Drosophila melanogaster: one gene and its partner. The protein of the gene in region 2 interacts with the protein of the main gene of each other region in a pairwise test. Each region holds a gene or a part of one and is shown on either strand. Other genes may lie near its edges.

Region 1 (3,794 bases), 2.6 Mb from region 2:
TACAAATTTGCATATTAAATTTGATAAAAATTAAGTGCTTACCGAAAATGAACCACATACGAGTTAAAAGTCAATTTACATTACATCGTGTAAAATCGGATGCAATTCATGTAGAATATAAAATGACAGCACTCTTTTGCGCGCACATGCCCTAACCCAATGTTCCTCCTCCATCTTTCAGCGATTATGACCTATTGCTGGTGCGTGGTCTATAGTGAATACGCCAACCTGTCCGAGGAGAACGAGCGCGGTCGTTACAACAAGCAGCCGTACCGTCGCTAGAATCTCCAGGAGCACTATTCATCAGAAATTGCATTCAAGAAGCTGAATCCACCACCCACACATCTTCATCCTAGCTTCCTATGTTCGTTTTTAGTGATTATGTCTAACTAATAATTATAATTTAGTTGAGGCGAGCCAGCCCTTCGCTCACATCGAATTTACGCGGCCCGTGGCATTAAGTGCAATGGAATTATGTATTTAACATTTAAATAAAACTTTAATCCAGATATTATGTGAATTTCTGTTGTAATTTGTACGTAATACTTGTAATTGTGAAAGAGGAGTTCAAAAACCGAAAACTAATAACAAAAATAAAAACAAACTATTTATCAACCGTTTGAGAGGACGAGGTCTTGTGTGTTTGTTGTTTTTTATTTCAAAATATAGGTTTTATCTTTAGGCATATATAGTTATATTCAATTCTCTCAAAGTCTATCAAAATTGTAAATTAACTAAAAATATGGATGTGTAGGGGGCGTTTCATGTGGTTGTTGTTTTAGCTAAGTGGGCGTGTTCCATGTAACTACACAAGTAACTGACTGCGCTCTACAGCTCGCTGCGCGAGTACTTGGGCTTCAGCTCCTCGATACGCTTGATGAAGTCGCCCTTCTCCAGGCAACCGTCACAGCTCTCGTCCCAGTCGTTGAGGATTTTCTTCAGGTCGCGTACCTTCAGCTTCTTCAGGTCCACGCTGTTCAGATCGATTTGTTTCTCTGCAATGAACAATCCACATAAATAAATGTTTATAGAAGTATATTAAGGCGAAGAGCAGCGACAGAAAAGCTAAATGTTAAGCCAAGTTAAGAGTTTTTGTTTCTAATAGACACCCTAGATTAATTGACTCTTAGTAAATGACGATTAACGTTTTCTAATAATCTAAACCATTAACATTCATTTTACAAACAGACCTATCTCATAAAATGTAGAATTTTATGCGAGTTACCACAAAATAATTTAACAAGCTATGATATAATAGTAAAGCATACATGCGAAATTGTATTCCTGAATTCTTTCCTTTTGCCAAGAAATGCTAGGTGCTTCATATTGAATTCTGTATACCCACACTTCCTATATATGTATAGTTCCTAACTAAAATATTTACCATAGCGAAGGTCGCAGATTTGTGCGTCCTTCTTCTTCAGCTTCTCGCAGATCTTCTCAGCTGGCATGGACCAACTGAGGGGTTTGCTCAGCTCGTTGAGGATGCCCGTGGCGGATTCTTCCAGACCGCCGAGGTAGTAACACTACGAAGAAACGCATACGTGTATCATTTTTCCCAGAGAATAGGAAGTGAGGGAGAGGGGGCGGCACTTGTTTGCCGGCTACTCACGAATCTGTGTTCCTTGTTTTTCTGCGCTTTGCAGAACTTTTTGAAGGCCGTTTCGATCTGTTTGTAGTCCTTCTTGGTGGAGTCGTCCAGCGAATCTGCGAACCGCCTAACCGTCTTGACGCAAACTGCGGAACGAAAGAATGGAGCCCGGTGAAAATCTGTTCCAGAACATCTCAACCACTTACGTGGCCAATCACATACCTTCGCAGTCCTCCTCTTTCAGGGCCAGCGACGTTTGGGCCAACGTCGCCAGGAAGCCGATCACTACCACCATGTACCACGTCTTCATTTTGTTATTACTTCGACTGTGCTTGAGCGTACTTTAATTAACTGTACTGAATTCTTTGCATGCGATTTGATTTTGTCCCCGAATTGTTAGCGTTAGGTGGCCGTAGATATGGGTGTTCACCGATAGGTCAGGCATCGATAAAAGTACTCATTTATCGGCGGGGCAGCGCCACGTTTTCAAATTGGAAAACAACCGATATGGTCATACTATCGGGGTCCGGAATTTACTGGCTAACAGGTGTGGGGATCGCTCAGCTGCTCCGTTTTACGCAGAGGCACTCCTGCTCAGTTTTCAATCACGCGCGAATGCGAACGGAACTGCGCGTCGTGGAATTATTTAAATTAGTTAAAGCTAAGCAAATATGCTCGACTGCACGTTGCCCGTGACGTAGTCTTGGACTTAATCCTCTTCCAGTCCCTTAATATAGCACCGTATCTGTGTAATCGCCAACAGTATTGACCAAGTCGTCCAAGTGCTCACTACTCCCTCGGCTATTTGGAGTTATTGTAACCGTTGGCAACTGCCACAGCAAACGTATTTACAATTATCCGGATAAAATTTGCAATTACACACCTTGCTAAAAATAAAACGGAAAAGAAGCAGCCCATTATAATAAATCGTTTAAAATGCCTGATGTGAAGTTCTTTGCCGTGCTGCCCACCAATGCCAGTACCTCGGATCGAGTAACCCGGCTGTCCATCAGCGGCAACCTGCTCCAGGATCCCCAGCAGTGAGTCCTTTGATATTTCGCGTTTAAATTCCGCGAACTTTAAGAAAATCGATTAGCCACTTCCCGCGAACTGAGGTGGAGAAATTGCCTCTTTGCGTGCTGAAAATATAAATATAGTGTTCTTAAAATCGTTTACGTATGTGACCCGATTAGACGAAATACTCACCAAACTCGCGAACAATTTATGGCGCACACAAAAAACATGCAAATGGGCTCATGAATTTAAATAATTTATACTTCTTCTGCCAGATGATGTTTGTTTTTTATAAATTCCAAAGACCTCTTATGAGTTTATGATCTATTAGGGCGATAAGGCGGTGGTGATGGGACCATAAAGAAATCTCTGCCAGATGTATACGTAGTCGTCTGGTTTTACTGTATCAAGTCCATCGTATATGACATCACCAGACTAAAATTGAATCAGACACGCGCTGAAGATGCCGGCTATGAAGAAAACAACAAGCCAGTTGGATGGCAAAGAATAATACCATGAATTATGTATGCTTGAGGGTGGGAAGTTGTTAATCAGCTTATGAATGAATGGTCAAATGATGTCCATTAATCAGAACCATCAGTTACATCACTCAAGAATCCGGGTTTCTAATTGAACAATTTCAACGCAATTGATAAATCAAGACAATACATTTCTTATCTGTTCTTTAGATCGATAAGGTTCTAGTGATAGCTACCTAAATGTGTCATGATAATATTCCGTGACACTAGTAGCTCTTGTATTTCGATAAGGGGCATAACTTACTGGAAATTCCATAGCTTGACTAACGGATTTTTAACAATAAATCGCTGAAAATTCCAATTCCGTTCCTTGAATGCGCTGCACGTTTTCGCGCCTACTCACACTCACTATTAATGTCTGGGAGCTCCGGTCCCCAAAAACGAAAGAAAAAAACTCACCGAACCAGCATGTGCCATTTAAACAATTCTGATGACTAAGCGCTTGAGGGGGTCAAACAATCAAATAACGACGTCATTAGCACTGATATGTGATAAGTTATATCGCTTTAAGCGAGGGTACTACTAGTGCTTGTGATTTTATTGAATATAAAATATGCATATCATATTTACTTCATTCACACTTTGCTATTTACCGCCTTTGATCAAATGCATAGTGAAGACTATGTCGCTAGGCACGTATTAAGTTAATT
Region 2 (6,465 bases):
CACCTTTGCACCCCTTAAACCAGCATAGGAAATTCCGGCATTAGGCTTATTTAAATTTTATTGCATCTATGTTGGTCGATTGCTAAGCTAGGAAGTATTGGACACTAAGGCAGCCGGAGGACAGGACTAGAATCCTAGGCAGCAGCTGCTCCTGTGGGACTGGCGGTGGCGGCCAAACGGGCCTGCCACTCGTCATCGATGGCCTTCAGCTGGTTCTTGGCCGTGGTCAGCAGAGGCTTGACACAGCGTATCTGCAGCCAGGGCAAAGTGGCGTTGTTGCAGCCACTGATCGACTCCTCCGAGGTGGCCACCACATCCAGGACGCGCTCCGCCAGGTCGGCGGGAAAGTCAGGCTGGGAGAGCAGACGCTCGGCTTCGCGTTGCAGGACTATCGACTGGAAGAATGAGGAAATCGAGGCGCCTCCAAAGGGAGCAGACGGTGCCACGGGAGCGGCTACACCGGCGGCAGCTCCTGTGCCAGCACCTCCGAAAATTCCATTTAGGAAGGGATTAAAGGCAGCCGCATACGGATTGGCGGCGGCAAAGGGATTTCCGGCAAGGGGATTTCCAACAGTAGCTCCAGGGCCCTTACGAGTAAATTATGATAATTCGGTTACATAATAATCCACTTAATGGGGGGGCCCATATCCACAACTCCTCACCTGTGCACTGATGCAGGCAATGCTGGCCGCCAGTAGAACAATTGCGAATTTCATTTCTTTTAATTTATCTGAGTTCACTTGGTTCTCAGTCGTTGGGTTTCGTCTAGACTAATTGCCAAAAGCACAACGGCTTGCGGCTTTTATACGCCATTAAAAACACGGCAGGGAGATCTTATCTCTGATATCTCAACTATTACTACTGCGATTGAACTGATTTACATGTTCATTGTTTGTTCGGTGGTGCTAAGTACCTCTCGGGGGTTATCTGTTCAGATAGAGCCAGAATATATAAAAAAAAAAAAGGTGGTAAAATTGCTACTTCATGCTGTGAACGTCACTGGTTTTTACGATGCAAATGGGGTTTAATTTTTGCCTGGGATATATTTGCCACCTTCTAGAAAGATAAAATTGACTGCTGTGCTACTGGTTATTTTGCGCACAGTTATTTTGGTAAACAGGATAAACATGATATTTTCTTATCCATTCTGAGTCATTCCATTTTTATCTTAGCGTAACATTCATCAGCAGTTATACAGCTTTATTTTTGCTGAGTACGTTTTCTATCAATATAATATATTTATGTATTGTAATGTTAGAATTTTACGCGCCAAACTGTTATTCTAATCTAACAGCTATTCGATTAACAGCATGTACAAGGACAGAGCAAATACAGAGACCGACAGTGGGACCGACCATATTTATTCTAGTCTAATAATTCTGCCAATCAACATAGATTTCAAATTCAAATTTATAATGCATTAACATTATAAGTATTAGATATTAAATGTAAGATATTATGTTAACTGTTTATGTGCTTCTGGCTTCTTAATATAAAATATATATATTACTTTAATTTTTAATATTGTTTTGATATATATATATAACTATCTAATACCCCCCTGCAAAGAAATTAAATGAAAATGTTAAGTTGTACCTCACATCTTTAACATATGCCTAGAGATGAGCGTATCCCGTGTATGTCCGTTGTTGTATGCGAATGATTTTGGTATTTTACGAACCACCGGTCACACTGAATGTTTTTTAACAGAATTATCGATAGTCCCGCAGCTCCAGTGGCTTAGTGCCGTTGAAAATTGTTGTACACAGTCAAGATATTGATTTTTGCGAGCCGAGAGGAAAACGCGACCCCACAGCCCCCGCCCCCTGTGCGCGACCAGTAGTAGTAGTAACGACTCACGGTCCTTCAAACATTACGCAGCCCAAGGTTCTGGAAAAAATCGAAGATTACGAGCAGAGCAACAAAAAAAAAAACGGGGCAGAACGTGCAGAGCAAGCGAAGCGAGTGAAAGTGCCCGCAGTAGTGGTCAGCAAAAGTAGAACTCGAACTCGGGCTACAGTTCACCAAGCCAATTCGAGTTTCCCGACTCGCAGCCTCCACTGAGCGAGCAGAAGAGCCCCGGAAAGTAGCACCCCCAGCGGAGAAGGAACGGAGAAAAGTGCAGTACGCGTAAGTCTTCCAAACGTAAACGTTTTAAAAATAGACACACTCAGCCAGCCAGCCAGCCAGCCAGGCAGTCGGGCAGTCAGTGAGGCAGCCATCCAGTCCATTGATGAAATTGTTGACTTGATGATATTGACATTGAATTTGAAATCGAGTCTCGACTAACCCAACCAACCCGTTCACAGCAACTGCGTCGAGCGCCCCAAGACCAATTTAATCAGAGGAAGAAAACCAGAAGAGACAGCAGCAGCCATGGCTTTCGCCGGACTCAAAAAGCAGATCAACAAGGCCAACCAGTATATGACGGAGAAGATGGGCGGTGCCGAGGGCACCAAACTGGACATGGACTTCATGGAGATGGAACGCAAGACGGACGTCACCGTGGAGCTAGTGGAGGAGCTGCAGCTAAAGACGAAGGAGTTCCTGCAGCCGAATCCAACGGCACGGGCCAAAATGGCAGCGGTCAAGGGCATCTCGAAGCTGTCCGGACAGGCCAAGTCCAATACGTATCCGCAACCGGAGGGCCTGCTCGCGGAATGCATGCTGACTTATGGGAAGAAGCTCGGCGAGGACAACAGCGTGTTCGCGCAGGCGCTCGTCGAATTCGGCGAAGCGCTGAAACAGATGGCCGACGTCAAGTATTCGCTGGACGACAACATCAAGCAGAACTTTTTGGAGCCACTGCATCATATGCAGACCAAAGACCTCAAGGAGGTAATGCATCATCGCAAGAAGCTGCAGGGCCGGCGGCTAGACTTTGACTGCAAGCGTCGCCGACAGGCCAAGGACGATGAGATTCGTGGTGCCGAGGACAAGTTCGGTGAATCGCTCCAGCTGGCCCAGGTGGGCATGTTCAATTTGCTCGAGAACGATACGGAGCATGTCTCCCAGCTGGTCACCTTTGCCGAGGCACTATACGATTTTCATTCGCAATGCGCGGATGTCCTTCGAGGCCTGCAGGAGACACTGCAGGAGAAGCGCTCCGAGGCGGAGAGCCGGCCACGCAACGAGTTCGTGCCCAAGACGCTGCTCGATCTGAACTTGGACGGCGGTGGCGGCGGCCTCAACGAAGATGGCACGCCGTCTCACATTAGTTCGAGCGCCTCGCCGTTGCCCTCGCCGATGCGTTCGCCCGCCAAGTCGATGGCCGTAACGCCGCAGCGCCAGCAGCAGCCCTGCTGCCAGGCCCTCTACGACTTCGAGCCGGAGAATCCCGGCGAACTGGCCTTCAAGGAGAACGACATTATCACCCTGTTGAATCGCGTCGACGACAATTGGTTCGAGGGCGCGGTGAATGGCCGCACCGGTTACTTCCCGCAGTCGTATGTTCAGGTGCAGGTGCCCCTGCCCAATGGCAACTAGGCTATTCCTCATCCTGTTCCTCGTATTAATCCCGATCCCTAAACCAATCCCATCCTATCAAACTGGCTGAAGACGTACGTAGATCGCTGATTGGAGAACAATAACCTTAATTGTTGGTTTCGCCACCAGAGGCGCGAAATTGGGCAGCCCAAGCCGATGCAGAAGCAGGAGCAGCAGAAGCAGCAGCAGCAGCACATAAATGCAAATATATATATATAGTTGAATTAGATGAGCGGGTTACTACGATTACGGATATTACGATACGGCTTAGCTAGCAGCACACAGCAGGCTAAATTCATGGTGGCCATAGAGCAAGCTAACTAAATTTTATGTGCAAAATTATACCAGTTGGCAACACAATAATTAACAAATTAACTACGAGTTAAATTAATGTACGTATTAACTAACTAAATTTACAAGACGTTACGCGCGCAATGCCACTTCCTTGCGTTTTTACCTTTGATTCTCAAACGTCAGCTTTGTTGTTCGTTGCAAGTTGCGAACATTTAGTACTACTTCACACAATAGATCGATCACGTATTAGAACAGTTGGTCCGGCGGCAGAAGCAAACAGAAAAACACTCTAGCTAATTAACTAAATTACCCGTGTAATCTTAATCACGCCCATGGAGGCGCGTCTCTTTTGTCTTTCCACCTGAGTTCTTCTAGCCTCCAGTTTTCGGAGGTCTTTTTATCCGGTCTCATCGTTGTAATTTAAACCAACCTACGCCAATGCGCTCTCTATGCAAATGTCCCTTTATAGGCTAAAGCTACGTATCCACACCATACGCCCGCCCACATGCATATACATATTTATTATATACCCGAAAATACCTACATATACCTACTCTACCTACGTATATTTGTGCAAAAACAATACTCCCCACACTCTATTCTAAAAGGCATACGGAATACCGTTCTTGATGTTCGTTGTTCAATGTAAAGAATAATTCAATTCAATTTTTCGAGGATGAAACAAGCGAAATTTGTATCCTACTTTTTGCTCCTTTTTATGTGTGTTGTTTTTTTTGTTTGTTAATTATATACATAACAACTATATATATATATATTAAATGAAATCAAATATATGTATAAATATATTTATTAAGCGTATTATCTACATGTATATTTATTATTATGTATTTATTATAAATTATACTGAGCAGCAACGTAAACAATATAATGAATATTTAAACGATGATAACAGATAAAAAGTACTAGCGGCAAGTAAATGTAACAGAATCCTCCTAAACAATACCAACCAACAAGCATAATACTAGTTAAACGATTTCCACAAAAATGTTGATAATAATAACTTTAAACGTAAGCAAAATCCAGTCAAGTCAATCGAAGCATAGCAACACTTACGAACCTACTAACGCGTTTACCAACCGCAACTCTAGATCAAATATTTATATATTTAACGAGATAATAATAAACATTCGACGGCAAACCGATAAAATGATTCAAAATAGTCTCATGTTGGCATACAGCTATGCACGATATACATACGAATGTATATACATATATATACTCGTACGTTTAGGAATGATATACACAAGATACATATATATTTACGTATGAAGAAAACCATTGAATTGAAAGCCATGCAACTTGTGTTGATAATAAATTTGTTAAATGCCAAGAAAACATTTAACAGAATTATATATTCGAGTGCGAAGATGAAACATTTGCCTCGTGGACGGACAGACTGCCAGTGCGAACATTTCCAGAGGATACCCCATCTGGGGAGGATCCACCCATCGCCTGGAGACTATCTTTCCACGCGATACACACTTGCCCCACGTGCAGCGGGGCCCGAACTTCAAACAATAATTATTGTAATTTTGCATTTTTGTGTGGGCGGTAACTTGAATAATATATATTACAAGGCATATACATAATAATAATAACTATGCTAAAACTGAAGACCCTAATTTATGCAAACCAAAATTAATAAAATTTAATTTTTAATGTGTCTTTCGTTCAAAGTCATAACTGAGAAACAACAAAAAAAAAAACAAGCAAACGTCGTTTACTCTTTGATATTTCCCATCTGACCTTAAAACCATAAAACGTGCTGCCTGTTGTGTAACACAGAGACTCGAATGCTGCTGGGAATGGGTGGTGGTGGGCGATGTGGGAATCCGGAGGCGCCACCAATAAACTACAACAGAAGCATTGAAATTTTCGATTTTCCACACACAGACACAGGCAGCCGCCAGCACACCCTCCCCTCCCCTATCCCACTGACCCAGTGGGCATGACATTGAAACGTGACGCAGCATCCAACCCCTGATGCCCACGCCTCCAGTCCAAAAAGTGGGTGAGGTCATGCTGCCAGGACACGAGTGTTTGCCAGTCTGGGCTGATGCAACCAATTCAGTCAGTGGGGGAATCTTCAGTCTTCTTTCTTTGCCAATTCTGTTGGCTATTTTTTTGGCATTGCGCAGGTGAAAATCAAGGCAATATATTTTTATCTGTTTGTTTGTAAAAAGCAATTAAAGTTTTCCCTTAATGTAAACTTGGAAATTTGTTCAAAGAACATACATATGTACATACTCTAAACAAATGCTTAATTCTTATGATTACCATTGCTTTTGAAAACATTGATCTTTTTATTAGCCATGCTTAAAGATTAGCAGCTCGCTTCAAAGTTAAACAAAGTTTATTATTGAAAGTATTGTATGTTACTTTTTTTTTATTATTTTAATAAGAATATACATTAATATAATATTATCATTTCTACCTTTTGCAATTCCTATTTGTATGACCGCAACTGTAACGGCATGTGAAGTGAAAAACATTGGCATGGTTGAGTTATCAACCATTGGACATGCGATAAGACAACACACCCAATCTATTGAATACTCTTAGTCAGACCTACGAGAAGACCACATACTCCTCATACTGACCGAGAATCCTGCGCTTGGGCCGCTGCAACGCCTCGTGGCCCAAGGTCAGACAGACGGGCTGATC

What was found.
Region 1: the proteins of EndoA (region 2) and Manf interact in a two-hybrid assay, tested with the Drosophila melanogaster proteins (one large-scale study listed by BioGRID).

What each region holds. Positions count from the first base shown.
Region 1 is NT_033777.3:16,347,618-16,351,411, reverse strand, and holds Manf (mesencephalic astrocyte-derived neurotrophic factor), read right to left. Parts: upstream 2,009-3,794; 5' UTR 1,902-2,008; coding exon 1,814-1,901; intron 1,738-1,813; coding exon 1,613-1,737; intron 1,527-1,612; coding exon 1,385-1,526; intron 996-1,384; coding exon 829-995; 3' UTR 611-828; downstream 1-610. Other genes in the region: CG10311 (uncharacterized protein), read left to right, coding at 182-282; CG14879 (uncharacterized protein), read left to right, coding at 2,528-2,631. UniProt on the Drosophila melanogaster protein: Required during the maturation of the embryonic nervous system for maintenance of neuronal and cuticular connectivity. Essential for maintenance of dopaminergic neurons and dopamine levels.
Region 2 is NT_033777.3:18,904,891-18,911,355, forward strand, and holds EndoA (endophilin A), read left to right. Parts: upstream 1-1,718; 5' UTR 1,719-2,130; exon of another isoform or gene 2,131-2,309; 5' UTR 2,310-2,376; coding exon 2,377-3,486; 3' UTR 3,487-3,560; exon of another isoform or gene 3,561-3,615; 3' UTR 3,616-5,865; downstream 5,866-6,465. Other genes in the region: CG14292 (uncharacterized protein), read right to left, coding at 135-587, 663-716; Sgsh (N-sulfoglucosamine sulfohydrolase), read right to left, coding at 6,370-6,465. UniProt on the Drosophila melanogaster protein: Required presynaptically at the neuromuscular junction. Implicated in synaptic vesicle endocytosis.